Linked DNA regions of Ovis aries. The main gene of each other region encodes a partner of the protein of the gene in region 7 in a complex. Links are inferred from orthologs where the notes say so. Each region holds a gene or a part of one and is shown on either strand. Other genes may lie near its edges. The genes, in order: MED7, MED12, MED18, CDK8, MED1, MED19 and CCNC.

The links.
Region 1: CCNC (region 7) and MED7 share a complex: the UniProt entries of both Homo sapiens proteins name them as parts of the mediator complex. The link is inferred for Ovis aries from reciprocal best matches to the Homo sapiens genes CCNC and MED7.
Region 2: the proteins of CCNC (region 7) and MED12 are in contact, whole or in part, in a cryo-EM structure (PDB 8TQC), measured with the Homo sapiens proteins. The link is inferred for Ovis aries from reciprocal best matches to the Homo sapiens genes CCNC and MED12. Residues at the interface, in NP_005181.2 of Homo sapiens: Gly3, Asn4, Phe5, Trp6, Gln7, Tyr11, Ile15, Asp17, Gln19, Asp20, Lys23, Gln49, Glu53, Leu57, Arg58, Gln59, Ile62, Tyr153, Arg157, Pro158, Gln161, Tyr162, Asp165, Leu173, Pro174, Trp177, Arg178, Ile179, Asn181, Asp182; in NP_005111.2 of Homo sapiens: Ile6, Leu7, Ser8, Tyr9, Glu10, Pro13, Leu14, Lys15, Arg18, Leu19, Pro22, Asp23, Val24, Tyr25, Asn47, Pro49, Ala50, Val51, Asp54, Glu55, His56, Gly57, Ser58, Ala59, Lys60, Phe64, Pro66, Ile69, Asn72, Phe73.
Region 3: CCNC (region 7) and MED18 share a complex: the UniProt entries of both Homo sapiens proteins name them as parts of the mediator complex. The link is inferred for Ovis aries from reciprocal best matches to the Homo sapiens genes CCNC and MED18.
Region 4: the proteins of CCNC (region 7) and CDK8 are in contact, whole or in part, in a crystal structure (PDB 5CEI), measured with the Homo sapiens proteins. The link is inferred for Ovis aries from reciprocal best matches to the Homo sapiens genes CCNC and CDK8. Residues at the interface, in NP_005181.2 of Homo sapiens: Met1, Ala2, Gly3, Asn4, Ser8, Ser9, His10, Gln13, Phe72, Tyr76, Lys79, Ser80, Ile81, Asp82, Leu85, Leu93, Lys96, Val97, Glu98, Glu99, Phe100, Gly101, Val102, Tyr130, His134, Leu136, Glu137, Glu139, Phe140, Tyr141; in NP_001251.1 of Homo sapiens: Met1, Asp2, Tyr3, Asp4, Phe5, Lys6, Leu9, Arg13, Gly58, Ile59, Ser60, Met61, Cys64, Arg65, Ile67, Ala68, Leu69, Arg71, Glu72, Leu73, Val84, Leu86, Ser87, His88, Arg91, Lys92, Val93, Asn145, Trp146, Val147.
Region 5: CCNC (region 7) and MED1 share a complex: the UniProt entries of both Homo sapiens proteins name them as parts of the mediator complex. The link is inferred for Ovis aries from reciprocal best matches to the Homo sapiens genes CCNC and MED1.
Region 6: CCNC (region 7) and MED19 share a complex: the UniProt entries of both Homo sapiens proteins name them as parts of the mediator complex. The link is inferred for Ovis aries from reciprocal best matches to the Homo sapiens genes CCNC and MED19.

Annotation. Positions count from the first base shown.
Region 1 is NC_056058.1:66,400,667-66,405,008, forward strand, and holds the start of MED7 (mediator of RNA polymerase II transcription subunit 7), read right to left. Parts: upstream 2,881-4,342; 5' UTR 2,828-2,880; intron 2,437-2,827; 5' UTR 2,391-2,436; intron 1-2,390. UniProt on the Homo sapiens protein: Component of the Mediator complex, a coactivator involved in the regulated transcription of nearly all RNA polymerase II-dependent genes.
Region 2 is NC_056080.1:63,847,689-63,850,830, forward strand, and holds part of MED12 (mediator of RNA polymerase II transcription subunit 12), read left to right. Parts: intron 1-224; coding exon 225-686; intron 687-904; coding exon 905-1,055; intron 1,056-1,210; coding exon 1,211-1,416; intron 1,417-1,575; coding exon 1,576-1,650; intron 1,651-1,742; coding exon 1,743-1,960; intron 1,961-3,142. UniProt on the Homo sapiens protein: Component of the Mediator complex, a coactivator involved in the regulated transcription of nearly all RNA polymerase II-dependent genes.
Region 3 is NC_056055.1:238,803,684-238,807,979, reverse strand, and holds the start of MED18 (mediator of RNA polymerase II transcription subunit 18), read left to right. Parts: upstream 1-1,419; 5' UTR 1,420-1,567; exon of another isoform or gene 1,568-1,578; intron 1,579-2,353; exon of another isoform or gene 2,354-2,418; 5' UTR 2,419-2,424; coding exon 2,425-2,497; intron 2,498-4,296. UniProt on the Homo sapiens protein: Component of the Mediator complex, a coactivator involved in the regulated transcription of nearly all RNA polymerase II-dependent genes.
Region 4 is NC_056063.1:33,370,208-33,373,841, reverse strand, and holds part of CDK8 (cyclin-dependent kinase 8), read left to right. Parts: intron 1-631; coding exon 632-775; intron 776-3,247; coding exon 3,248-3,317; intron 3,318-3,634.
Region 5 is NC_056064.1:39,599,828-39,603,461, forward strand, and holds part of MED1 (mediator of RNA polymerase II transcription subunit 1), read right to left. Parts: intron 3,164-3,634; coding exon 3,135-3,163; intron 1,190-3,134; coding exon 1,118-1,189; intron 631-1,117; coding exon 556-630; intron 70-555; coding exon 1-69. UniProt on the Homo sapiens protein: Component of the Mediator complex, a coactivator involved in the regulated transcription of nearly all RNA polymerase II-dependent genes.
Region 6 is NC_056068.1:79,750,226-79,754,597, reverse strand, and holds the start of MED19 (mediator of RNA polymerase II transcription subunit 19), read left to right. Parts: upstream 1-1,553; 5' UTR 1,554-1,586; coding exon 1,587-1,803; intron 1,804-1,861; exon of another isoform or gene 1,862-2,484; coding exon of another isoform or gene 2,485-2,584; intron 2,585-4,372. Other genes in the region: TMX2 (thioredoxin-related transmembrane protein 2), read right to left, coding at 940-1,128. UniProt on the Homo sapiens protein: Component of the Mediator complex, a coactivator involved in the regulated transcription of nearly all RNA polymerase II-dependent genes.
Region 7 is NC_056061.1:37,531,229-37,535,459, forward strand, and holds the start of CCNC (cyclin-C), read left to right. Parts: upstream 1-1,368; 5' UTR 1,369-1,496; coding exon 1,497-1,528; intron 1,529-4,231. UniProt on the Homo sapiens protein: Component of the Mediator complex, a coactivator involved in regulated gene transcription of nearly all RNA polymerase II-dependent genes.

The DNA.
Region 1 (4,342 bases), on a different chromosome or scaffold from region 7:
ACAAACTGAGATAACAGCATGGAAACATGTACATTATAATATGTAAATGTACCATATAGATAGCAAGTGAGAATCTGATGTGTGACACAAGGAGCTCAACCTAGCGACAACCTACAGGGGTGGGATGGGGTAGGAGATGGGAGGGGAGTTCAGGAGGGAGGGGATTTATGTATACCTGTGGCTGATTCATGATATATTCATGATTCATGATTCTGATATATGGCAGAAGTCAACACAATACTGTAAAGCAATTATCTTCCAATTAAAAAAAGAAAAAAAAGGCAAAAAATCCCCACATATATGTAAAATAGCTAATGAGAAGTTGCTGTATAACATGGGGAGCTCAAATCTGGTACTCTGTGACAACCTACAAGTGTGAAATGGAGTGGGGGTCGGGGGGAAGGTTCAAGGGAAAGTTGACATATGTATACTTATGGCTGATTCACAGTTGCCAATTAAGCGATTATCCTTCAATTAAAAATAAATTCTAAAAAAGGATCCTATCCATATAAGACTATCAAGATTTCAAATACTCCATCACTTAACAAACAACACTTTCTATGTGGCAGGTGCTGGATTCCAGCACAGATCACACTCTACCTTTCAGCTTCTTCAGAGTGGTCATGCCAATTTTACAAGCAAGCTCTTAGCTAATCTGGCCCTGCAGGGAAGTCTTCTGCAGTGGAAAACATCCGTTGCCCTGAGGTCCCACTAAACACCATCACAGCCACCATAACACTCTAAGGTGGCAAGCCAGTATCACCAAGAGAATATGGGGAATTCTCATACACAACTGATAGGAAACAAATATGCTTACTTGGAATTAATGTGACAGTATCAAACACTGTAATGCTGATTTCTTTGACCCAACAATCCTTTTTATTATTTTATATTGAAGTATAGCTGATTAACAACACTGTTGCTGTTGTTCAGTTGCTAAGTTGTGTCCAGCTCTTTGCGACCCCATGAACTGCAGCACCTCAGGCCTCCCTGTCCCTATCTCCCAGAGTTTGCTCAAATTCATTTCCACTGAATCAGTGATGCTATCTAATCATCTCATCTTCTGCCTCCCCCTTCTCCTCTTGCCCTCAATCTTTCCCAACATCAAGGTCTTTTCCAATAAGTCAGCTCTTTGCATCAGGTAGCCAAAGTATTGGAGCTTCAGCATCAGTCCTTCCAATGAGTATTTATTGTTGATTTCCTTTAGGACTGACTGGTGACCCAACAATTCTATTTCTAGAAATTTATCCTACAAAAATATTGGTAGAAGTACACAAATCTGTGTATCAGGATATTTAATGCAGCACTGTTTGAAAAGAGCAGGAAAAGCTGGAAATAACCCATACCTTCATCCATACCTTCACCCATATGAGGCCTTGGATAAAATGTCTATATATACACAATATGGCCACTAAGAAAAAAAGGGGTGAAAGTACATGGAATGGAGGGTTATAAATACTGTGTACTGGTTCATTTATTTACAACACACTTATGATAGTTGCAAATAGTTATAACCAATGTTTTAAAACTTTCAAAAATTCAGACTTTTCAGTCTATGAATAATATTCCATATTCTTCAGATTCTTCAAATGTTAACATTTTCCCTCATCTGCCTTATTGGTCTCTCATCTCTTTATCTAAAATACTTCAGTGGGTAGACCCAAATAAGAATGTCCTCTTAGAACCACATAATTAACAAAATCAGAGAATTAGCAATCATCTGGTACTTCAAAATAAATTTCATACAGCCTAGGTTTCACCCCTTCAAGCCTTTTCAGATTGGAATTCCTGTTTTGTGCTTCCCAGAACCTTGTGTAATCCTCTACTTAAACTGCCAATCCCCAAAGGGCAACTAAATGACAGGTATCATTGTTTTATATTCTCTTTTACTTAAGCTTCAAACTAATTCTATGAGTTACTACTACTATCAATTTCATTTTAGAGATGAGGGTCCCAAGTCTGTCTCACCAAGAAGTATCTGTAACCAGATCAAACGGCCAGGAAATGGCATAGCAGGAACTCTCAACCTTGCCTGTTATGGTTGCACAGCACAAGCTCCTTTAAATCAGTAAACAATGAAGCATCTTAGAGTACAAATGGAAACTGACATACAACAGAAATCATGTTTGTTTATACCACTTCTCCAGACTAAACTTGTCAAAGGCAATGGAGGTTTTTCCTAAGACATGCGTCAAGCATCAAAGCTGATTATCAGACTCAAGATCATCTTCTAGTGTTTGTTCCGTTCTGACGGATTTAACCCAAAAAAGAAAGGTATTGTAGGGTCTTATCTCCAGACGTTCGACTCGTTTATCTACTGTAAACGGAGCTGCTGGAATGTAGCTTTAAAACCTCCCCAGAAGATCTAATGAATGACGCCTGGGACCTACCTCCTTCCCCGTCTCCCATTAAATCTTTTGATTTCAGGAATGCTCCCTGAGGAAGAAGGGCGAGACTGGTTAGGGACAAGGCCAGAGAGAGGCCAGAAGACGTGGCGAGGCCACACAGCTCGGTAAACCAGCGGAGCGGGTCTAGAACTCAGGTGTGCCAACCTCCGGCCGGGCTCGGCCTCCCCCCGGAGGCGGCCTAGAGCCCGCCGCGCAGAGGGTACCTTCCCACGAGAGGCCAACTACCCCCACCCACCCCTGACCCCGGCTTCGCGAGCTGCGGGGAAGGTCGCGCTCTCTGAGGAACGCCGGAGAGGAAGGCGGACGAACGTACTCAGCACCAGGCCTCCCCGGACTCCCAGCCCTCCCAAAGGAAGCAGCGGGGTCCGGAAAAAGAAATGTACGAGGAACTGAGGCCCAAGCCGTCGCCGCCCACTTACTTCAGCTCTGGGCTTACACTAGCAGCCGCCTTCTCCACCTCAAGCCGAAATCCAACTTCCGGCCTCCACTTCCAGGAAGAAGCCACTGATACTGTCCTTTGATTGGCTGGAAAGAGCTGTCCTTTAACCGAGGCTCTAGTCCCGCCTCTGTGACGGTTGGCTCACCGTTTCGCGGGCGCATACTCCCTCTCCCCAGCCACCCCTTTCCTCCTACCTTCCCTCTGGCACCTCCCACCCTTCCGTGATTCTGCAGCAGCCACAGGGTTTGGGGTCGCGAAGAATGTGTTACTATTAAAAGTAGCTATTCTTTGCTTTCTTTTTCTATTTTCCTGAATATTCGCTGGAAGGACCAATGCTGAAGCTGGAGCTCCAATACTTTTTCCACCTGATGTGAAGAACTGACTCATTGGAAAAGAGCCTGATACTGGGAAAGATTGAAGGCAGGAGAAGAGGGTAACAGAGGAGGAGATGGTTGCATGACATCACCGACTCAAAGGACATGAGTTTGAGCAAGCTCCTGGAGTTGGTGAAGGACAGGAAGGTCTGGCGTGTTGCAGTCCATGGGGTCGCAAAGAGTCAGACACGACAGCTATTTAATATTGTGAAAATCAAGTCAGTATTTGGATACCAATTATCTGAGGATCCAGTAAAGTCCACCCCTTTGTGACTGTCTGTATCAGTCTGATACTGGATGTATCTATTAATCATCTTTTAATCTGTAGTTTCTTTCCTCTACCTCATTCTCCCCCACCCACAATCAATTTATTTGTTGAAGAAGTTTGTTCACTTTTGAGCATACCCCAGTCAGGCTTTTCTCCATTGAGACCAATGTTACATAAATTGTGACCTCCAGTGGGCATTCTTTAGTCCTCATCTTGGTCTACTTTCAGCAGCATTTGGCACACTTGATCATTTGAATTGCCCCCGGACTGAGTTCTCCTCTTAATGTCATCCAGGTGATAATACTCAAGTGGTATCTAGATCCTGGCAACACCCTGTCCCTTGCACTCAGACCCTCTTAACCAACAGTATTACACATCTTTATTCGACTGCAAAGTCTCCAACATAACAGTTCATCTTCACTCCTCTTTCTCCCATACTCTATTCAAAATTAAGGTATCAGTCTTTTGTATTAGTTCTATGTGGAAATAAGTAAAAGTTCAAAATATTAATTTTCACCATCCGCACTGCCTCCATCCTCATCCATGCCACCATAATCTTCCCCTGACTTCTGAAATAACCCCCTAAATGTCAATAGTTTCCTTGCTTCCACTTTTGTCCTTCCTTAGCCTATTTAAGAGTTGGACATGACTTAGCGACTGAACTGCAACAACAACAAAGCCTATTTTATCATACTGTCTTAAAATATGACTGATCTGGCCACTCTTAAAGTTCTCCAAGGCTTCACATTCATAATAAAATCTAATGTCCTTACCATGGCCTATAGGAAATGCTACAAAAATCTAGTCCTTGGCTACTTCCCCAATAATACTTCCTACCATTTTTTTCTATGCT
Region 2 (3,142 bases), on a different chromosome or scaffold from region 7:
TCTGTCTCTCTGGCTGCCTTCAGTCTCTCACTGCCTTTTCTTTCTCTGCCTTCCTGCTTCTCTGTCTTCCTCTGACTGTTGGTGTCTGTCTCTGTCTCCCTCTGCTCCCTACAGTCCCCTCTTCATTCTCCCTCCCCTGTGTGTATATCCATGTCTGTCTGTCTTCCTCTCGCCGTCTTCCCTGAATCTACCCATGAACTTTTTTTTTCTTTTGTTGCCAACAGATACTTTTCCCTCTCCTGCAAGCCTTCAAGGTCTGTGTTGTATTTTCCAAGTTTCAGCAGCTCACTATTTCTCATTTTCTGGAGCAGGGTCTTCAGGTTTCCACCAAACAAAAGATCTCTCCCTGGGATCTTTTTGAGGGCTTGAAGCCATCAGCGCCACTGTCTTGGGGCTGGTTTGGAACAGTCCGGGTGGACCGGCGCGTGGCCCGTGGAGAGGAGCAGCAGCGACTGCTGCTGTACCACACACACCTGAGGCCCCGGCCCCGCGCCTACTACCTGGAGCCACTGCCACTGCCTCCAGAAGATGAGGAACCCCCTGCCCCCACCCTGCTAGAGCCTGAAAAAAAGGCTCCAGAGCCCCCCAAAACTGACAAACCTGGAGCTGCTCCACCCAGCACTGAGGAACGCAAGAAGAAGTCCACCAAGGGCAAGAAGCGCAGCCAGCCTGCCGTCAAGACAGAAGTGAGCACCCCTGCTGCCATCCCCTTGCATGCCGTCCCTGTGCACGTCTTTCCCAGCCCCACTCTCTTCCTGATCCTGGTTGTGGGAGGGCTAGGGGCATTTGAGGAAGGAGTACTTTTAGAATTAAAACAATGAGCCACGTAGCTCCACCTCCTGTTCTGCCCTCCTTTCCCACTTGACCCCAGCCCTCTCACCTTCCTCCCTTGCCATTCACACAGGACTATGGAATGGGCCCAGGCCGAAGTGGCCCCTACGGAGTGACAGTACCTCCAGACCTCCTGCACCATGCCAACCCTGGCTCCATCTCCCACCTTAGCTATAGGCAGAGCTCCATAGGCCTCTACACCCAGAACCAGCCACTGCCAGCAGGTGAGTACCAGCCACTGGGTGCAAGGGACTGACCCGAATATTCCTCCCATCTGAAGGGCGATGCTACTTCTCCCAGGAGCTATGGATGCGCAGGGTGCTGAGCAGGGGACAGAGGGACAAAGAGCCTAAAGAGGTCAGCTGGCTCCCCTTTCCAGGTGGCCCCCGCGTGGATCCATACCGCCCCGTGCGGTTACCAATGCAGAAGCTGCCTACCCGCCCACCTTACCCCGGAGTGCTGCCCACGACCATGACTGGTGTCATGGGACTGGAACCTGCCTCCTACAAGACGTCTGTGTACCGACAGCAGCAGCCTGCAGTGCCCCAAGGACAGCGCCTTCGCCAACAGCTCCAGGCAAAGATAGTGAGAGGGGCCGTAGGGAGGGCCGTCAGGGAGAGGGGCTTTTGAAGGTCACAGGAATTTGGGGTCTTCACAAGGACATGCAGAGTGGGAGATGCAAGAAACGAGGTGACAGAAAGCATTTCCAGAGTTTGAGTTTGTTTCCTTTTTCCCCTCTAACAGAGTCAAGGGATGTTGGGACAGTCATCTGTCCATCAGATGACTCCCAGTTCTTCGTACGGTTTGCAGACCTCCCAGGTAAGGGCGCAAGATGGGGAGACTTGGGGAGCTCCAGGCAGGCTGGTCTGCACACCCCTGGCTCTGACATCCTCTCTCCTCCTCCCCTCCAGGGCTATACTTCTTATGTTTCTCATGTGGGATTGCAGCAACACACAGGCCCTGCAGGTACCATGGTGCCCCCCAGCTACTCCAGCCAGCCTTACCAGAGCACCCACCCTTCTACCAATCCTACTCTTGTAGATCCTACTCGCCACCTGCAGCAGCGGCCCAGTGGCTATGTGCACCAGCAGGCCCCAACCTATGGACATGGGCTGACCTCCACTCAAAGGTACCCAAATGAGCCAGGGATGGCGGAGACACTGAGGCTTTTGATTTGGGAAAACCTGGGCCTGGATGTGGTGAGACTGGTCAGAACTTTTGGAGGCATCAAGAGCACATACCTGGCCTGTCAACACAAAATGCCAGAGCTGGAAGGGGCACTGGTGGCCAGTACTCTCATGCCTGCTTCCCAACGTTTCTTTGAGAACCAAAGAGGATACATCACTTATATGCTTGTGAGAAGGAAAGACCTGGAGTTCATAGATGCAGTGTATGGGAAGGAGTCATCTAGCTACCATTAGAGCAGCTTAGTGCTGGAATGGACCAGCAAACACATCCTCCCACCTTACTGAATGTCAGTTAGGCCTTACTTAAGACATTGTAATCATGTCTTGAGGTTCTGCAGCTTAGGGTTGAGAACACTGCCGGGTGGACCAGAAGAAAAGTCCCTAACTTAGAGGTACTGATTAAGTGCCGACTCTGTGGCCAGCACTATGCTAGGACCAGGTAGGGTGAGGAAAGCTATTTGAAAAAAAATCCAAAGTCCTTCACCACACAGAACTTTTACTCTAGCTGGGAAGAAGAGACTTATTCAGAAGAGTGCTTAGAGAACGTGGTAATGAAAGATACAAGCAGCTGTGCAGTTGGGTGCTGTGAAATAAAATGGGAATTCAGGAAAAGTGGGGGATGATATCATTGTGGGCCTGAGTCATCAGAGAAAGTTTCATGAAGGAGGTCAGACTTGAGTTGGCCTTTGAAGGATAGCTGTGGCTTGGATTTGTGGGGAGGAGGAAAAGGAGGGGGATCCCAGGTAGAGGACGTAGCATTAACAAAGACGTGTAGGGTGGCTGGGAGGACAGGCAGGAGAAGAGCTTGGCTGGAGTTTAAGATTCATGACAGGGAAAGAGTAGGGATAGGCTGGGAGTGGATAGGTTGAGAGAGAGCTTGGAATGCTTGGCACGGGGTTGAGACACAATCCCAGAAAGTGCTCTTGATCAGGAAAATGATGTGATGATTTGGGCATGTTGAGATTAACACAGGTCTCGTGGAGAAGATGGGCTTCCCTTATAGCTCAGTTGGTGAAGAATCTGCCTGCCAATGCAGGGGAGCTGGGTTTGATTCCTGGCTTGGGAAGATCCCCTGGAGAAGGAAATGGCAACCCACTCTAGTATTCCTGCCTAGAGAATCCCAT
Region 3 (4,296 bases), on a different chromosome or scaffold from region 7:
CTTATCCAGAACTGCCTGGAAGACCCACCACAGGACTCACTACCTTCGGAAGTGCCTGTAATCCAGCTGCAGTAAACCATCAAAAGTTCATAGGAGAGCCAGCTGGAAAAGCCGAATTCTTTTCCTTGGTTTCAGGTCTGATTAGACCCAGTTTCAGCCTTGTGACCTGTATTTAGGTTTGTGGTGTTTACAGCTCTCCAACATGTTTACTTCCAAACGCGACCATCCTTTCTTGATGGGAACAGTGGCCACCGAAGTCCAGTGTTTTATTCCATGAAACTGGTTCGGATCGGTTGAATTCGATCCAGTGAAACCAACAGACCCTCCCACCAGAGACAGATGAGATTCTGGCCTTTATTAAGCATACATGGTGAACACCTAGTCCTGGCTGTACTTGGCAACCCTCCTTCTGTTTTGATTCCCACTCCTCCCAACATGTGTGTACTTTTGACCTACTCTGAGCCGGAGTGAGTGAAGTTGCTCAGTCGTGTCCGACTCTTTGCGATCCCATAGACTGTAGCCTGCCAGGCTCCTCCGGCCATGGAATTTTCCAGGCAAAAGTACTGGAGTGGGTTGCCATTTCCTTCTCCAGGGGATCAGACGCTTTACCATCTGAGCCACCAGGGAAGCCCACTCTGAGCTCGACTCCTGATCTATTCGAGCGACCTTGTCCTGTCTACAAATGGACAGGCAATAAGATGACTTTAACCCAGAAGCAGCACCTCAGCAAGGGAAATGAAAACATCAGAAGCCAAACTGATGTAAGGTGTGGCGGCGGCGGTGGTTAGGAGACTGAGTCCCACTGAGGCGGGTTGCACGCCCCCCAGGAGGCGCAGGTGGGCCCCACCCCAGCCCCGCGGGGCCGCGCACGCCGGCCGGAGGGAGGGGCCAGATGAGGACCAAAAGTCTCCAAGCGCAGCTCTTCCTTAGGAGCGGGAGCTGTTCTGAGTGAACCTCCGGCCGTGCCCTCCTCCAGGGGATCCTCCCGACCCAGGGATCCAACCAGAGGCTTCTGTGTCTCCTGCAGGCAGATTCATTACCGCTGAGCAACTGGGAAGTTCTATCATCAGATACCCACCCAAAATAAGTTTCTGTTTTACGACAATCTCTCCTCTTTTTCTGAAGCTCTCTTCCCCAGGGTCTCTTTGTCCTTTCAGGTCCAAGAGATTTCCTGGACAAAAACACGTCCAGGTCTTCACAGTTGAAAAAAATATTTTCCTGGAAGATGGCGTATGACTGCAATGCCGCCTGAATCTCCCAAAGGACCCCTCCTAAGGAGGCCGCCATCTTCCGTGCAGCATCGGAGTTTGCGCATGCGCCCCTGCTTGCCGTACAGCGGAAGAGACTTTTTTTGTCCTCTCGGCACCCTTACGTCGCAGAGTGGCGGTGTCGAGGTTTGCGCGACGAAAGGTTTTTGTCAGACGTGGGAAGAGGCGAGAGAATTGTTGCACTGCCTAGGGGTTTTCAAGTTTAGGGCTGGGGGTGGTGATTGTTGCTCGAAAGCTCCGAGGTGCTCGGGTGAATACGGTCCCCCGCTTTCCTGGAAGAGGCTGGAACGCGCTTGGCGGTGTGTTTTTGGTATAAGTGGGCACGTTTTGATGCTGGGTTTAGGAGGCCCTAAAGCATCATTGGGGCTTCCCTAGTAAACTCAGACGGTAAAGCATCCGCCTGCAATGCAGGAGACCCGGGTTTGATCCCTGAATTGGGAAGATTCCCCCGGAGAAGGAAATGGCAACCCACTCCAGTATCCTTGCCTGGAAAGCCCCATGGATAGAGAAGCCAGGCCTAAGTCGATGGGGTCACAAAGAGTCGGACACGACTGAACGACTAACACAAAGCATCAGTGGAAAGAACTTCGTGCTTTCGCTTCAATCTCTTTAAAAGGTTTTTAGAGAGGTGGAACGCCTAGATTTTAGTCTGGTATAGGTTCTGCCACCCACCTATTGTGTGTCCTTAGGCTCCTCCCCAAGCCTCAACATCCTCATCTGTAAATTGAAGGGCATACAAGAGTCCTTAAGTCACTTTTCAGTCTTTAGTTGCAGGTCCATTATGTCATCTGAGCCACAAAGACTTGGGGGTTAATATCATGGCCTCATTTTAGAAGAAAGACATTGAGTCCCAGGGTGCACAGAAAACCATTGAAGGGTTTCAGACCTTGAGACTGAAAGATTATGCTGTAACTCCATGATCAGGCCTCCTTTGTGTATTTCTGGATCACCTGAAACTGGCCTATAGCAGTTACTAAAGTTTTGAATGGGTGGATGAATGAATTTTCATCTCCAGGCCAATGACCCAAGCAGATCTGGTCTCTCTCTGCCTCTCCCATGTATTAACAAGTATAACTCTTCCCCAGGTGTATCCTGTGTGTTACCTGACTGGGGATTCCAAATCTAGTTCTGTCGTTTTCAACTTAAACAGATAAACATGGAGGCACCTCCAGTCACCATGATGCCTGTCACCGGGGGCACCATTAACATGATGGAGTACCTGCTGCAGGGTAAGTGAACTAGGGAGCTTGAATTACCTGTTTTCCTGTTTTCTGTTCCGCTTTCCATGGAGATGAGAGGCTGTTATATAAAAGCTACCTGCATAATTTCTGGCACCCTTTTATTCCCCAATTTACTTTTAATTATGGTCACAAATACATAACATTAAGTTTACCATATTAAACATTTTTAAGCATACAGTTCAGTAATGTTAAGTATTTCACATTGTTGTATAGCTAATCTCTAGAACTTTTTCATCTTGCAGAATTGAAATTCTATTCCTGTTAAACACTAATTCCTCCTTTCCCCTTGCCGTAGGCCTTGGCAACAACCTTTCTACTTGATGTTTCTAATTTTGACAACGTTAGATAACCTCATAGGAGTGGAAGCATTCAGTATGTGTCTTTTTATGACTGGCTTATTTCACTTAGTATAATATCCTCAACATTAACCCTTTCGCATGTAAGAGAATCTCCTTTTAAAAATCTGAATAATGTTCCACTGTATGTACATACCATATTTTCTTTATTCGTTTGTCTGTCAGACATTTGGATTGCTTCTACCCAAATTGTTATCATAGATAATACTCAGTGAACATGAGTGTGCACATACCTCTTCAAGATCCTGCTTTGGATTCTTTAGGAGTGAATGCCCAGAAGTGAGATTAATAGATCATATGGTAATGTTATGATACTGTTATTAGTTCCATCTTCTAGATCAGGAAATAGAAGTGAAGTAACTTTCCCAGATGAGAAAGCTCAAGACCAGGGAGGGTTATGATTTTCTGGAGGTCATTTAATCTTTAGTGGAAGAATTTAGACTTTAATTCAGATCATCCGTTTAGTAACTTACAATGGACAAAATAAAATTGTTAATTGCACTCCTCAATCTGCCTCTACTTCAGCCTTTCCCATCTCAGTAAGTGCCGCTGTCAGTCATCAGTTGCTTAAGCCATGCATTCAGGAATCAATCTCAGAGAAAAGAAAATAGAGTCTATGGGGTTGCACAGAGTCGGGCACAACTGAAGCGACTTAGCAGCAGCAGCAGCATGGCATGCAGGATCTTAGCTCCTGAACCAGGGATGAAACCTGGGTCCCCTGCATTGGGAGCACCAAGTCCTAACCACTGGATGACCAGGGAATTCCTGTGAACAGTCAGCCTAGATTTCTAGATCTAGTCATCTAGATGTCTGTTTCTGACCTTTTGCCATATTTGCTCTATCTTTTTCCTTTTGCCGTTTTTGAAGACAGATTCAGATCTCGTAACATTTTACCCCCAAACACTTTCAGTATTCATCTCTAAAAAAGCAAGCGTATTTTCCTTAATAACCCCAATACTATCATTATTACCTGAAAGAGTCATAGTATATTTCTGATATCATCTAATATATAATTCATATTCAGAAGTTTCCTCCATCTTGTGTTTTGATCCAGGGCATAATATCATCTCATGCATTACATATGAAAACCGTGTCTCTTAAGCCTTTTTTAACTTGGACCCGCCTCCCCTCATTGCCACTTTTTTTCATGTGACCCTGTCTGGTTGAAGCATCCATACCAATTTTCCTAGAATGATCTTTTTAAAATGTAAATCCAGTCATATCTTTCCTTGTTGCATGGAGAATAAAGTGTGGAGCTAATAACTGCCCAGTGGCCGTACAATAAAATACAGCCTTTAGCATGGGCGACACATAAGTCCTGCCTGCTTTGGCCCATCCCAAATGCTCATTTCATGATCATCTTCCATCTTGCTTACCATACTTCAGCCACACTTTCATTTCTTTGGATTCCCCAAGCTCTTTGCTACCTCT
Region 4 (3,634 bases), on a different chromosome or scaffold from region 7:
GTTAGAATATTTGAGGTCAGGCGTCATCTTTTTCCTGTTGGAACAGCACCTTGCTAACTAGTGCTAACACAGGAGGATAATTATTAAACTTTACAAGCTAATAAGTCCATAAACTAGATAAAAAATAAAAAATGTTTTTTACCTCAAAAAACGGTGCTGATTGTTTTCAGCAAGTATGCCCAATTTCCAAGGCTGTTTGGGTTTTCTGTTTTTTTTTGTTTGTTTGTTTAGTTTTATTTATTTATGGTTCCTGTGCCCTGTGTGCAGCTTTGTATGTATTTCACAGATAAGGTAATGTTTGAAGCACTTAAACTCACCAAAAATTTTAGATAATAAATTTGATTGAACTTGGAATGAAACCACTGGGTGGGATGGAGGTATAACAAGGAATGAAATACGGGTGGATGGGGTGGGAATATATATTTACAAACAACATTTTTTATATTTATAATTGCTTAGGATTTAATATGACTTATTAGGGGAGAAAAAGAATGAAAAAACACTCCCTGCCAAGATAAAGATGCATTTTCTTTTGGAAAGAACCACTTTATTTTCCTCCTTTCTTTTTCTTTTTTCCTTTCTTTTTTTTTTTTTTCTTTTCTCTTTTTTTTTGTTTGTTTTTGTTTTAAAGATATTTGGGCTATAGGGTGTATATTTGCAGAACTACTAACGTCAGAACCAATATTTCACTGTCGACAAGAGGACATCAAAACTAGTAATCCTTATCACCATGACCAGCTGGACAGAATATTCAATGTAATGGGATTTCCTGCAGGTACACATTATATTTTTGTTTTTGTTTTTAAATCACTGTTGTTTGAACTTAGATGTCTTCATTGAAAGGATGTGTATTTTTAGCTGATGAAAGCTACTCTTACTCAGTTCTTTATATTTACGACTTGCATTAATCAAAGACCCTTAGAAATAGCAAAATTTGTAGAGTTCACATATTAGCATAAAAATATTTATGGGTTTCTTGAATTTGAGGAGTGTATTTTTGTTTCATTTTGGTTTTTGGTTTTGTTTTGTTTAATATTTAAAATGATAAAATATTTGCAATATCTGTGTTTAAAAAGTGCCTTTAGCTCTCACCATTGGCAACTGAATAGAATTCAGGAGCATGTCTTTTTGTCTGATAGCACTTAATAATAATGTCATTGTTTGGTATTTGAATACAGATTTTGAAGACTGTTTCTACTTGAAACACATTGTATTGAATCGTAGCATTTTTTGCTCTATAACCCTTGTCAGTAAGAACATCCTTTCCAGTTAGAACAGGCAGGATGTGAGTGAAGGCCCAGCCCTGCACAGCAAGTGAGCCTGCTCTGACTGCCGCTGGGAGGTGGTGGTTGGGGCATTTCGTCACGGGCTTTAGAGCTCCAGCCCCAGCCCAGTCCTTGTGCCGCAGAACAGAAGTCCATTACTCTCCATTTGAAACGCCTGCATAGTTTTGGCTAGTCAAGTACTTCTTATTGAAATGATAAACAATAAGTTTATTATTAATAAATATGTTAATAATTTAAAATATCAATAACTTATTGAAATAATAATAAGAAACAATACGTTGTTTCTTATTAGGAATTTTTCTCAGATCAGTGGCTCAAAACTAATACAGAAATATCTGGGAGTTATAATTTCACATTCCCTTTAATTATCAGTAAGTGCAAAGTAGCTACCTTTGTCCAGAATTGACCAACATTTCTACAAAGATTGCTTTGTTGAGATGGGAGTTTCATTTATTCACTAAAGATTTATTGAGCACCTGCCATGTTTCAGGCACTGTGTTAAGTGTAAAATATTGTTGATATAACAGACGTGATTCTTGCCCTCTTGGAGTTGACACTCAGCTGCTCTAAGTAGAATGTTGAAAGAATAGGAGTAGTTTGAGTAGATGGAGAAGAATGACCTTTTCTTCCCACTTCTGAATGCACTCATCAATTCAGGGGTCCCCCGGGGAAGGAGCCTGACTTACAGGGCCTTGGAGGAGGGGTGGCCTCCACAGGAGATGGTTCTGAAATGGTTCTTAGGGCGTGGTTCCACGTTTGGGATCTGCTTATAGGGAATCTGAAAACCAAGCAATAGAATTTAGATTTGATGTGCTAAAGAAGGAGAATCTGTGATAAGTTCTTGAGAACTAGTGCTGTGATTTGTGTTCTACTTTAGAATGGTTTCTATGGCAGGGGTATGTAAAAATTTAAGAGGGGTAACTGAAGTCAGGAAACCATCTTTTACCTGCAGCAGTACTCCACGTGTAAAGTGATTTGGATGGAGAAGAAAGGATAATGGTATAATTTTTTAGAGTAAGCCTGTAATTGGGAGAAAAAAATAAAAGATTATCTTAGGATTTCTACTTGAGAAATTGACAGAAATAAAGAAATTGGAACAAGGAAGTAGTCAAGGAGAAAATTCCTCTTAGGAGTTTAAAGTATGTATTTAGTTTACAATATGTGGTATCTGGAGGCTAGATAGCAGATATTTTTATAAGCCAGTTGAGAGAGAAGCTAACCTCTGGAGGTCATTTAAAAGCTGAGGTGCCATGAAGCTACCTGGTAGAGAATGTGGGCACCTGTGGACTCTCAGTAACTCCTCCAATGGACACAGCAAGCTTCTCAAACCGCGTGTGGTGTTTGAGTAACTCTAATGTCAGCAAAACTGACCAAGATGTTTCCACCTGATGGGTCTGGTAGCTGGGATTGCTTTTGTTATTATTATTGAAACTAGCCCAGATACTAGCTGACTTGTTCATATGCTAGTACATCCGACTCTGTGTTTCAGACAGCTGTAACTGCTTACCTTGATTACCATGTAAAGCAGTGTATTTAATAAGGGGAGCGTAAGGAGGGCCGTATAAAAAGGACAGCTTACAGCTGCTGAGGGGGAAGATACTGCATTTATTGTTGAAAAGATTGGTTGCTGGATTAACCAAGACATGGTGGGACAAAAGTGGTTTTACAGATAAAAATAAAAGTATTTAATAATGGAAATATTTGTTTATAACTTGTTGGTGTCTTAGTATAAAAACTGAGATAACTTATAGTAAAACATAGAGAAAATAGACATTTAAAAACAGCATATGGAGAATGCATTTACAGTTAAAGATGTTTATTGCAGCTCACCATTTATTCGAAGTCTGTGCTTTCAGGGAGGTTAAAATGTAGGACATGTAATGAGAAGTGAAGTCACCTTTATTAAAGTTCTTAATAATAGGAACCTAGACAATATAAAATTGTATCAATGTGTTTCACAGATAAAGATTGGGAAGATATAAAAAAGATGCCTGAACATTCAACATTAATGAAAGATTTCAGAAGAAATACGTAAGTTGGCAAGAAAATAGACTGTTGATTTTTGCTTTTCTAGAATACTCAGGATAAGATTGAATACTCAGCATGATAGAATAGTTGACAGAAGACTAGTCTGTTAAATAATTTTACTTATTTACTCTAATAAATGTTTTTGCATTGTGGTAGTCTTCATTTCTTAAGATGTTTGAATGGTGATACAAGAAGGTGAATATCTAATATCAGCAGCTGATTTGGCTATGAGGAAAAAAGTCAGTTCATTTCTTTGCATATTTGTTACTTTCTGGAAGCTTGCGTCTGTGAAGGGTATCACAACTGAAGCAGTAAGAGAC
Region 5 (3,634 bases), on a different chromosome or scaffold from region 7:
CTTCTTGGAGTGAGATAGCCAACACTTCCATGAAGAATCTTATCCAAGGGACCAGCATTGGTTGCTTTCCTGCAAGACAAATGATCTATGTTTATTTACATTTAAGCCCTGAAGATATTAGTATACAATGTGATAATGAGTTCAGCCCTTACACATCTTTTAATTCTATCCTAATGACTTTATCTTGGGCATTTAACAATTATATTTCACCCTCAAGGTGAAGGGATTATTTCTGAGAATACACCAGTGTATAATATGGTGAACAAAAATTACAACTATACTATTTATCAGAAGGGAGGCCAGGTTTCACAAGTCTTCTTATAAAACCTATGGAATACCAACCAACAACTTAGGGATACTGATATTCAGAAAATGAAATGCAATCATTTGGGAAGTGAAAGGATATGGACAAGATGTACAGTACAGGTAAAATACAGATGCATAGTAACATACATCTATAATACATATTTTTTAAATAACAGAAGCCTAGTAAACCATAGACAAAACAACTTTAAGAACAAGGTCAAAGAGAACTGATACTTTAGCCAGTCTTACCAGTACATAACTGCCATTTTAGATAGATCTTGTTCTAAGGATTGGAGAGCCAAGTACATTTTAGTCTTCAATTTGCTAGAAAGTAAACAGAACAAGAATTAGTTAACAAATATACATAAACACAAACAGTGAAAGCCTAGAGAGCAAATCTACCTTGGAGGCAACTTAGATCTTTAAAAAAAAAAAAAATTTTTTTTTTAAATCATTAGTGATCTACCAAAACTAATTTTTATCTCTACTTAAAAGACCAAGCAAGTAAGCAGAATCCCAGGTAGGTTAAAAATATAAAACCAGTCCCACGACAATTTCTTTCAGCCTAGAAATCAATATGCTGAAGATACCTCAAGGATTATACCTTGCTACCTTCTAGCACTATAATCATTAATCCAGATACTGTTTATTTAAAATACCTTTAAAAGACATTAAGTTAGAAGCTAAGTTATAGACTGTCAGTATGAATAGAAATCAGAAATGAGCTAGGGCAGAAGACTTGGCAAATTTCTAAGAACAAAATGATTTATAGATTTATACTAATTTTTCAAACAAAAGCAAAAATACTTACTTGTCCCCTGGAAGGTTATAAAGATTAACAAGACCCTTAAGGTGCTTAGAAAATTCATCAAAATTTTTTTCCCTGTGAGATGTTCAGGGAAGAGGAGAGAGGGAAGAGAATAAAACATACAATTACTACTCAATCTTCTCAGCAAAGTCCCCAAAATCAAGGCTATATAAAACTAATCTTAATAATTTGCTTTAATTCCCCCCCCCATAAGTTTTCTAGAATCGGTCAAAAGTTGCAAAAGAAAATACAATATTCTCCTTTCTCTGCTCCATTTTTTGGGAGAAGGTGCTAATAAACAGTATAAAAGATAGTCAAAAAGACCTGTTACCTCACATACTAATTTGTTCTTAAGTAATGAGACTTAGTTTAAATCACTTCCCCTCTTAATTTGTAACTGAGATGACTGGATGTCATGAGGAAAAAAAAATCTTTTAGAGAGAAAAAGGAAGTAAATAAATTAGGAAGATAGGACACTTTCATGTATACAATAAGAGCAGAGAAAGGAAATGAACAGTGGAAGAGAGATGGGAGACCTAAGCAAAGGCAGAATAGGTAGTGTGGAGGCAAATGATATATTTTAAAATGTTCCTATAACAAATTACCCCAGGAAAAAGAAACTAGTACCAGGAATTCTGGCATCCTAAAACCTAACATTCAGAGGTGGATTCTTAGTCAAATAAGCTTTTATAGGCAGGAATCCAACACAACTCAACAATTCTAAGTCTCTATATCCTTTTTCAAACTTAAAAAAAAAATGTCTGTTGAAAACTGTACTGCTCTGACAATGTCAGATACTTGATCAGGCATTTATTGAATACTTATTGCCCAAAGTGCCATGAAGACACTAAAAAGAAACAAGAGCAACAGCGAAATATATTCCTTACCTTAAAATCATCATCTATACAGAGTGATTAAAAATACCTGGTAAAGACTAATATTCTTTCTAAGGTTCCCACTTCCAAACATGCTTACAAATTAACTTTAGAACACCATCAGTTCATAAACTGGTACAGTCTCCTATTCTACATTAGAACCAGAAATACTGGTTTCCTGGACTATTCTGATAATACATCTTTGCCAGACTTATTGAGTAAATGAAATCATAAAAGGTTATTTCTTATGTTGCATTGCAATTTTTCAAAGCTCATTCAAATCTGGTGTATTTGGCTGTAAGGACATTAAAGTGATCACTGGAAAGCTGAGTGTAAAACTTATTTCTCAATGTTAAACCCTTAAGACTCCTCCGTATCTGATAACTTCACTATATTTAAAACATAAAATTGATGTAACAACTTTCTCAAATTTCCAGAGTTAATTCTGGGTTTAAATTTAAGCATGGAAATCTCCACTCAATTAAAGGAGAAAAGATAAGCCAATGACAAAAAAACATCAATTACTAAAAGAGACTGTCTTCAAGCCTAGCACTTTACTATGATTTGGGACCCATAAACCTTAAATATAAAACAATTTTTCTCAAAGTGAAAAAAAGTTCTTTCCATAGTATAGACTCAATTTTCTCAAGCTTTCTCTAATTCAATAATTAGGTTCTGTTTATTTTGTTCCACAGAGAATTCCTAAGGTTAACTCAGTAGTTCTCAACCAGGAGTGATTTTGTCCTCCAAAGGACGTCTGACAATATCTGGAGATATTTTTGATTATCATAGATAATCAAAGTCACAGATCAGGAGGTTATCATAGATCCTAACTAGCTGGGAGAAACCAGGGATGCTGTTTAACATCCAAGAATGAACTGGGCAACCCCCTAGAGCAAAGAATCTCCCAACCCAAAATGGCAATACTGTCAAGGTTGGGAAATCCTAGGACAGATGCAATAGAGTGTTAAAAAAAAAAAAAGCTAAGTCAATTCTAAAAGTGATCAAGTACAGACTTTGAAAAATCTTGACCCAAGAAAATAAAGTTGTTCCTTAGAAAAGTAAATTCTGACCATTCTCAAAATGTAACTATAAAGAACAGCACTGTCTGCCAATAAAAGGGAATGTAAATGTCAGCTGCTCACCTTAGCTGCTGTACAAGCTCTGGACAGCTCTGAAATTAAAGAAATTATGTTAAAACTCTAAACTACTTTAAGATGCTTGAAGACATCAAAAGTTTTTTTCTTTTTTATTAATAACACATGCTTTATAACAGAAACATTAAAACTATAGAAGGTCCTTATATTAAGATATCAAAGACATCTTCTTCCTACTTGGTAAACCATGGGGTTGGGTCAGGAAATTAAAAATCAAATATATTGAAATAGTTTATAAAGGAATCAACTTTCAGTTGCTTGTTTAAAACATTAGGACCTCTCTTTAAAGCCATCCTTGGAATTCATATCCAATTGTCTGGTTATACACCTTTTACATTCCTGTCTATTACAGGGCTTTTCAGAGACATTAGCTATATACAAGATTATCTGTCCTTCTTGATTATAAGTTCTTTGAGGATAGGAATTTAAATTATTTGTATCCCCAGCACCTATTGTTCAACTGCGGCTCATGTTTGTTGATATGAATT
Region 6 (4,372 bases), on a different chromosome or scaffold from region 7:
TCTGTTAAAGATTAAGACTCATTTGGGGCTTTGGGAAAAAAAGACAAAAACTCAGGTGACTGTCTTTCCTCAGAACATGTATGTGGCTATTCAGTAGAGGGCGAGAGCTTCAACTTATTTTACATTTTTTTTTCCCCTTAAAGCATGCAGAATCTTAGTTCCCTGACCAGGGATGGAACCCAGGCCCCCTGCAAAGGCAGTGCAGTCTTAACCCCTGGACCACCAGGGAAGCCCCTCAAGTTATTTTTCTGAGTGGTCCCTCCATTCCAGTTCAGGGAGAACTCCAAGAGGCTTGAGACAGATTTCTTTACAGCGTTTTTTTCTTTTTTTTTTTTTTTACAATTCCATTTCCATAGGCCTAACAATTTTATTTATTTTTACATCCCCAGTATGCGGCACACAGCCCAGCACACAGTCCGCCCTGAGAGACTGTTAACTTGATTTTAAGAAATGGCTGTGTGCTGTTACCGTGGCTAAAGAGTGGCTGCAAATCCTCGTCGCTCACTAGTTGTGTGACCTTGGACGAGTCTCCTAACTACGCCAAGATCCGTTTCTTCATCAATAAAACGAGAATACTACAAATACTACTCGCCTTGTACAACTCACTGGTTCTTTATTAACGAGCAACACTGGAAGAGAGTGCGAGGGCCCAGTCTGGGGAAGACTCTGGTCGAGCATGGATTGGGAGGTGGGAAGGAGCTTGGCCTCAAAAGGCAGAAGGCTGAGACTGCTGGGCGAGCTAACCGGCTGCTTTCTCACCCTAAACAAGAGGAGGGTTAGGCTCGGTAACAATCCACGCCCTACACTCTTAGCAGTCTGTCAAGTCCGCTAAGAGGCCCGGAACCTGAGGCGTTCTCAAAACGGTCCCTCGGGGCTCCCGGCTGCGACCACCAGGGCGGGGACAGTCAAGGTCGTGGGGTCCCGAGGAGGGTCGCTCACCCAGTCAAAGTCACACGGGTTGCCGTCTTCGCGTTGCGTGGGGAGACTTTCGCAGACAGGGGGCAGCTTCCTGACGAGTAGGAAGGCAGCAGAGAGCAGGGCTGACAAAAAGTAGTAAGGTCGAGCCAGCCATCGTGAAAGTCGCGGGACTGAATACACGAGAGCAATCAAAGGCGCTAGGACCGCCATCTTCTCGGCCCCCTGAGGCACCGGCCGCTCTCTTCGGCTTCCGTAGGTCTGGTCCCGCCTCTCTCACCATTGAAGGTTTCCATTGGGCCAAGTGTCAGATGGCCCGCCTCTAGACCCGGAGCTAGATCTCTGATTGGCCCTCTACGGCAGGTAAGGGAGGTGAGAGAGGGATTTGATATGCTATTGGCTAACCTAGCTGTCGCTTTTACTACCTAAGTCATTTCATTGGTTAAGCGATTGCTGCGAGCGGAGGCCTCGGAAAATTTAATAATGTTAAGGAGTATTTCCTGAACGTTCTCAGAAGGCGACGGAAGTCGTTGCCGGAAGAAGGTAGGCAGGGCCAGAGGCAGTCCAATGGTAAACGACTCCTGGAGGAAAAGGGCGGTACCCCGTGAAAAGATTAACCAATGAGAATCATTAACGCCAGACACCGGGACGGCGCCGGGGCAGAGGGGACGATGGAGAATTTCACGGCGCTGTTCGGGGCCCAGGCTGACCCGCCACCTCCCCCAGCGGCACTCGGCTTCGGACCCGGAAAGCCGCCCCCCCCGCCGCCACCGCCTCCGGGCGGGGGGCCCGGCCCGGCCCCGCCCCCGACCGCCGCTTCGGCCCCTCCCGGGAGCGACAAGTCGGCGGCAGGCTGCGGCCCCTTCTACCTAATGAGGGAGCTGCCAGGTGAGTCCGAGGCCCGGCCGAAGCCGGCCAATCAGATCGCCGCGAGGTGGGGCTGGGCGTGGCTCCTAGATGCCGAGGGAGGTGAGGGGAAGCCCGGGCGGCGCGTGCGGGGATTTCGGAGCTCCGTGTCGGAAACGACTGCGAATTCAAGGCCAAAGGCACGACAGGAATCCTCAGGATGGACTGGGAATGAGAAGAATGGGTCTCTGTGGCCGCCTTTCACGCTCCGCCCTGTCTCTGAAGCTGATGGTGGTTTTATGATTCCCTAAAAGTTACTCCCTGGAGGTTCAGACGGTGAAGAATCCGCCTGCAATGCGGCAGACCTGGGTTTGAGCCCTCAGGTGGGAAGAACCCTGGAGAAGGGAAAGGCTACCCACTGCAGTATCCCTGCTTGGAAAATTCCGTGGACGGAAGAGCCTGGAGGGCTACAGTCGATGGGGTCGCAGAGTCGGACACGACTGAGTGGCTAACTGAAAAAGCACCCAGGGTTCAAGTTTGGAATTTGAGAGTCCTTATTTAACATCCTTGCGGACCTAGTTCCAAATCTGCTTCCGACTTCCTGTTGGTTTGTTGCCTTTCTTTTTTCTCTGGGCCTGGGCCTTTCCTCATCTGTTGGAACAAGTGAATAGAATTGGACCAGACTCTTTCATTCAAAAACTTATTTCGTTGAGCACCTATTTTATGTACCAGGGGTTATTGTACACTGAAGATACAACTGTGAATAAGGCTGACAAGATCCTTGCCTGTTTGGGAATTTACGTGCCCATGGAGGAGGCAAAAGGTAACAGGGTGAAATCACAAAGCAGTTACGGCTGTAGGAAAAAAAAATGTGATAAGATTTAAGGGAGCTGAACTGCTTTAGCTAGAGTGATCAGAGAAGCTCTTTCTGAGTAGGTTACTTTAGAGTTAAAATGTAAGCGCAGAGAAAGAGCTAGCCATTTATGAGTGGGAGAAGGAATAACTGGATACAAAAAAAATGAAATCAACAGCCCCAATGTGAGAAAAATCTTGTAATGTTTGAGGAACAGAAGATCAGCTGGACTCCAGTGAAGTGAACAGAGGAGTGATAGATAAAGTGAGAGTGTAGGCAGAGGCCTGTGTTAGACATTTAGATTTTAACATATTATTGACCAGAAACATGTCAATACCTTTTTTAGAGAGTGAAACCATTAACATCACCGTGGGAAGTTGTTAAAGCTTAAAATTGATCAAGGATTCATCATACAGCTTATCATTGACATTATCATTCACATTTTGCTCTGTTAGGTTTTTATTCCAACCTTGTGTACCTTATAAACACAAGTTTATTTTCATAAAATTTTAAAAAGTGACACACCATGCAGTTTTGAATGAAGAAAATTTTTTCAGTGAATTTTATGCAGATACTTTCTCTTATTGTCCGAGCAGCACCTAGTGCTGCAGCCCACGGGGTCGCTAAGAGTCGGACACTACCGCGTGACTTCACTTTCACTTTCATGCATCGGAGAAGGAAATGGCAACCCACTCCAGTGTTCTTGCCTGGAGAATCCCAGGGACGGGGGAGCCTGGTGGGCTGCCGTGTATGGGGTCGCACAGAGTCGGACACGACTGAAGCGACTTAGCAGCAGCAGCAGCAGATGATAGTTGTTCCGAATGTAGTTCTGATTCAGATGATGTGACTATTAGACCAACAAAGAGACAGAAAACCTTAGTGATTGTTTTCTGATACGGAAAGTGAAAATGAAACTCATGGTGCTGGAGAAGACTTTACAGGTGTGTCAGCTGTAACTATTGAATGTAATAATGCAAAGTGGTAGTGAAATAGCTGAATTAATTATTGCGTTAGTTTCTACAAAAATCCCCCTTTCAATAATGTTACTGCTTAGTGGTCCAGGAAAGAGGTGGTTTAGACTAGGCGATAGCAATGGAGGAAAGAAGTAAATGGATGCAGGATAAATGTTAGAGGTAGAACTGACAGGAATGAAGGATTGAATATAGAAGTGGAGGAGAGAGGAATTGAGGGTGATTTCGAATTTTTGGCTTGAATAACAGGATTGATGGTAGTGCTGAGGTCAGGCAAGAACAAGTTTGAGGAGGTGGAAACCGGGAGTCATTTTAGACATACATGTTAGTCTCAGGGACATCTTTCAGTTCATCCCACGTCCATAGCTTTGACTGTATGGACCTTTATCGGCAAAATGATGTCTCTACTTTTTTAAAATGCTGTCTAGGTTTATCATAGCTTTCCATTCAAGAAGTAAGCATCTTTTAATCCCATGGCTGCAGTCACTGTCTGCAGTGATTTTGGAGCCCAAGAAAATAGAGTCTGTCACTGCCACCACTTTTTCGCCTTTTATTTGCCATGAAGTGATGGGACCTGATGCCATGATCTTAGTTTTCTGAATGTTGAGTTTTAAGCCAACTTTTCCACTCTCTTTCACCCTCATCAAGAGGCTCCAAAGTTCCTCTTCACTTTCTGCTATTAGAGTGGTGTCATCTATCTGAGGTTGTTGCTCTTTATCCCAGCAATCTTGATTCCAGCTAGTGATGTTTCAGTAGGATGTTTATACCTTCAACGACAAATGCAAGT
Region 7 (4,231 bases):
TATATGCAGGTCAGGAAGCAACAGCTAGAATTGGACATGGAACAACAGACTGGTTCCAAATAGGGAAAGGAGTACGTCAAGGCTGTATATTGTCACCTTGCTTATTTAACTTATATGCAGAGTACATCATGAGAAACGCTGGGCTGGAAGAAGCATAAGCTGGAATCAAGATTGCCAGGAGAAATATCAATAACCTCAGATATACAGATGACATCACCCTTATGGCAGAAAGTGAAGAGGAACTAAAAAGCCTCTTGATGAAAGTGAAAGAGAAGAGCGAAAAAGTTGGCTTAAAGCTCAACATTCAGAAAACGAAGATCATGGCATCTGGTCCCATCACTTCATGGGAAATAGATGGGGAAACAGTGGAAACTAGTTTTTGGTTCAAGCCAATTCAATTAAACCTACATTTATGGGGTCCCTCAAAGATGATTTACCTTTGAACTAATGAAGCCTAAGCTGATGCTCCTGACTTGCAGGGCCACTGAGAAAACTGAGGGATGCTGGGCATTTAGACGCTGGAGTTCTGGGTAGGAAGCAGAAACCAGGTTGTACACAGGAAGTATTTCTATGTGGCATTCTGGTAAACTGCCTGAAAGTTCACAGAAGGAAGGGACCTGAATCTCCTAGCTTCTAGTAATTTGTCGTAATCTCTTTTTGCATTGTTTCGCAGTCACTTCAATCCAAAAGAACTCCATTAAGAACCTATTCGGCTTGTTAGGTTTTGAGGCCAAGTGAAAGTGTCAAAGTCGCTCAGTCGTGTCCGACTGTTTGCGATCCCATGGATTATACAGTCCATAGAATTCTCCAGGCCAGAATACTGGAGTGGGTAGCCTTTCCCTTCTCCAGGGGATCTTCCAAACACAGGGATCGAACCCAGGTCTCCCGCATTGCGGCTGGATCCGTTACCAGCTGAGCCACAAGGGAAGCCCTTTGAAGCCAAAATTAACTTTATTTCTCTTTCCAAACACAGGAGAAAGAACAGAAGTCAGGAAGTCGTATAGTTTAATACAAAGCCACTGTGCTGCTTTGGAAGCCTGTAAGATGGGAGTAAAGTTAACCCGAACAAGGGACGGTTTCCCCATCCCACCCCTTCTCCGTGAATCCTAGCTCCCACAGACGCACGAGCCGCGCGGGCTCTAGGCCGGAAATGACGAAAACCTCTCGCGATACTCTCCCAACTGCCGCGAGACTTCGTGAGAGTCAGTTCCCGACTCCTTTTTCAGTGTGCGCAAGGGCTATCTCCTCCCCGCCTCTTTCCTCCGCTACCGCGGGGCGGGCCGGAACTTCCATGCGTAGGAACTGGTTTGTACAGCAGAGTGTTGCCGGCCGGCGTCAAGAAGAATAGGGTGCTATCTTCCTCTCACCGTCGCCGCCGCGGAGCGGAGCCGAGTCCATCAGATCAAGGAGCGCGGTGACCGGGAGGGTTGGGTCTATGGTCGCTCCGCGCTCCGCTCCGCCGGCTGGTGCTTTTTTATCAGGCCAAGCTGTGTTCCATGGCAGGGAACTTTTGGCAGAGCTCCCACTAGTAAGTGATCTTCCGTTTTCTCCGGGCCTGGCTCTTGGAGGTGCTGGGTGTACGGGGCCTGCGACTCCTTTTGGCCTGGATCTCGGCCCCTGTCCGGAGCGCCGCGGAGGCTCCAGGGAGGCGGCGGCCGGAGGCGGGATGTGCTTTTTCTTCGGCGACTCTCCTCACCGCGCCCCGTTGGCCGGGTTTTGGAGTGGTAGAGAATTTCTTGGCGGGGGAGGGTAAGAGGGATTGCGTCTCCGGAGGAGGAAGGTTCGAGAGTTTTAGCTTCTGATTTTTGGTTTAGCTAGGCCGAGGTTGGGGGCAGGGGAGAGGCGGGGCTGGCGAGGGTTGGGATATGGGATGGACACAGGTATGGGAAGTGTGACAGTTCAGAACTGTGAGGCTGGCTTCTCAGGACAGTTGTGGTTCGATCTCGCCTGATATTTGTAAAGTAGGTTGGCATCAGTAATCGTTTATCATTCTTCTGTGTTGAGTGGATTGTTACTCCAAGGAAAGGAGGGAGTCAGGCTTGTTTCTGCTCATGAACCGCATTCTGCCACTGTCTTTAAGCCTATATGGTTTTTATGTTTGTAAGTTATAGATCAATTGCTCTCAACATTTGTCCATTTCGTTAGTCTGTGTCTCATGTTTTGTTTTAAAAGTGTATTTTCTAGAGACTTTACCAATATCTTTAACGTGTTTTCCAGAATAAGTTTTTGTTGACGTCTGTACCGTGGAAGAACTAGAGTAATATTGAAAGCATTTCTCCCTAAATACATTTGTGTAAGCAGATAGGACGATGGTGATGGGACTAATTGAACTTTGGGTAGGCTGTACAGTGTATAGTTGAAAGACACAGAACTTGATGATACCTTAGTGTAAATACTTTTTCATGCGAAGAGAGCATAAGTAAATTTTGAGTGTGAGGATGGATTCCTATATTATTCAATTGGTATTTTAGCCGTTTGCACTAGAAAAAACGAAACAATGGGCTTTAAAACCTATTTTCAGAAAAGCAGGTTTTCTTGCTGTAAGTGGTTCTGTGGAGATGAATGGCTATAGAAGCTTTACTTCCGATCATATTTAATTTGCACTGTATTCACTGACTGAAATATTTGCTTGGGCAAAATTAAAATATGGAAAATTTCTGTAGTGAAGTAGTAGTATTCTGGTTAACTTTGAAAGAAGCTGAAAAAATTGACAGGGAGCCAGTTGTTGATTATCAGAAGTTACAGGCCTTTTTCAACTTAAAAAAAAGAAGTTTGACCCTTTGATAAGTCTTCTCATTATGCTTTCATTTACTGTTGGCTTATTAAAAAGGGGCCAGGATGTATTTTATAAAATCAATTATTTTTTCACTTTTCAAATATAAAATTAAATGTGCTGTTTTTAAAACTGTCCTTGCCTTCCTAATCAAATAGTCCTGGAGGAAGGGGCCACTTTATCTTACTCAGATCCCTTGGGAATCATGGAGTCCCTGATCTGCAAAAGGTAACAAATATGAAAGACAAGACAAGCAATTCAGGAAAAACAAAAAGATGATGAAAGCCATTGTTTTAGGTGATTTTGGTGAAAGAGGAAGATTGATATGATTTTTCATGGCTTAAAATCGCCCTTTAACATTAACTGCTGCTAGCAGCAGTTAAAAAATGGATAACATTGCTGTTATCAGCATGGCAGTTTTTGTTTCCTTCAGTAACATAGGAAATAATGGTGAATCTTACAATCATGTGTAATTTTAAATTTGAGAATATGTGGCGTTAACTGGTTTGTCTTCCATGCTGTGTGCTGTGAAGAAAAACAGTTGTTTGTGGAATTTATCTTTTTAAATATTTGAAATAACTGTGGAGAAGAAATGGATGATTTTGAAACAGAGACACTGGTAGTATTTTTCAGGAAGTTAAGTAGAACACAATACATTCTTTGACCATGATGCAGTAAAACTAGAAGGACACTAGACATTTGCTGGTTGACTGAAATAATGAACAGGTGACAAAAACTAAAACTACAAAACCAACTCTGGATGCTTTACTGTAGCAAAGAGAGCATTTAAAATACACTTACATATTATCTAGGAAATAGTATAATGAGATTAATATGTATTCATATCTTTGGGATGTGGCCAAAGCCAAATTTATAAGAAAGTTAACATCTTGAATAACTGAAAAAGAATAAAAATTATATATTTTACTTCAGAATATTAAAAAGGAAACAGTGAAATAAACCTAAGAAAAACAGGCATAATAAAGGTAACACTGATACTGAAAAGGAAAAAAACCGTCAAATTATAAGAGCTGCCTCTTTGGAAGGGAAAACCAAAACAGTAGACTAAACTATGCTACTGAATATAGGGGAAAAGGAATGGTCAGTTCAGTCCCTCAGTCGTGTCTGACTCTTTGTGACCCCATGGACTGTAGCGCTGCTAGGGTTCTCTGTCCATAACCAACTCCTGGAGCTTGCTCAAACTCATGTCCATCCAGTCGGTGATGTAGGAATACAAAATTAGGTAGGAGAAAAGTAAGTAATCACAGATGTACCTTTGGGTTATCTTCATTTTCAAAGTAAATTTTAAAGCCAGAACAAAGTTATCAGAGAGCTACTTCTTTAAAAATTGCTCCAGGCCCACATTATTTCATAGGTAAATTTTTACCCACTTTCAAGACCATCTGCCATTAAAGTTGTTCCAATTCACATGAAAAGTTTTCTGGTTCTCTTGAGGCC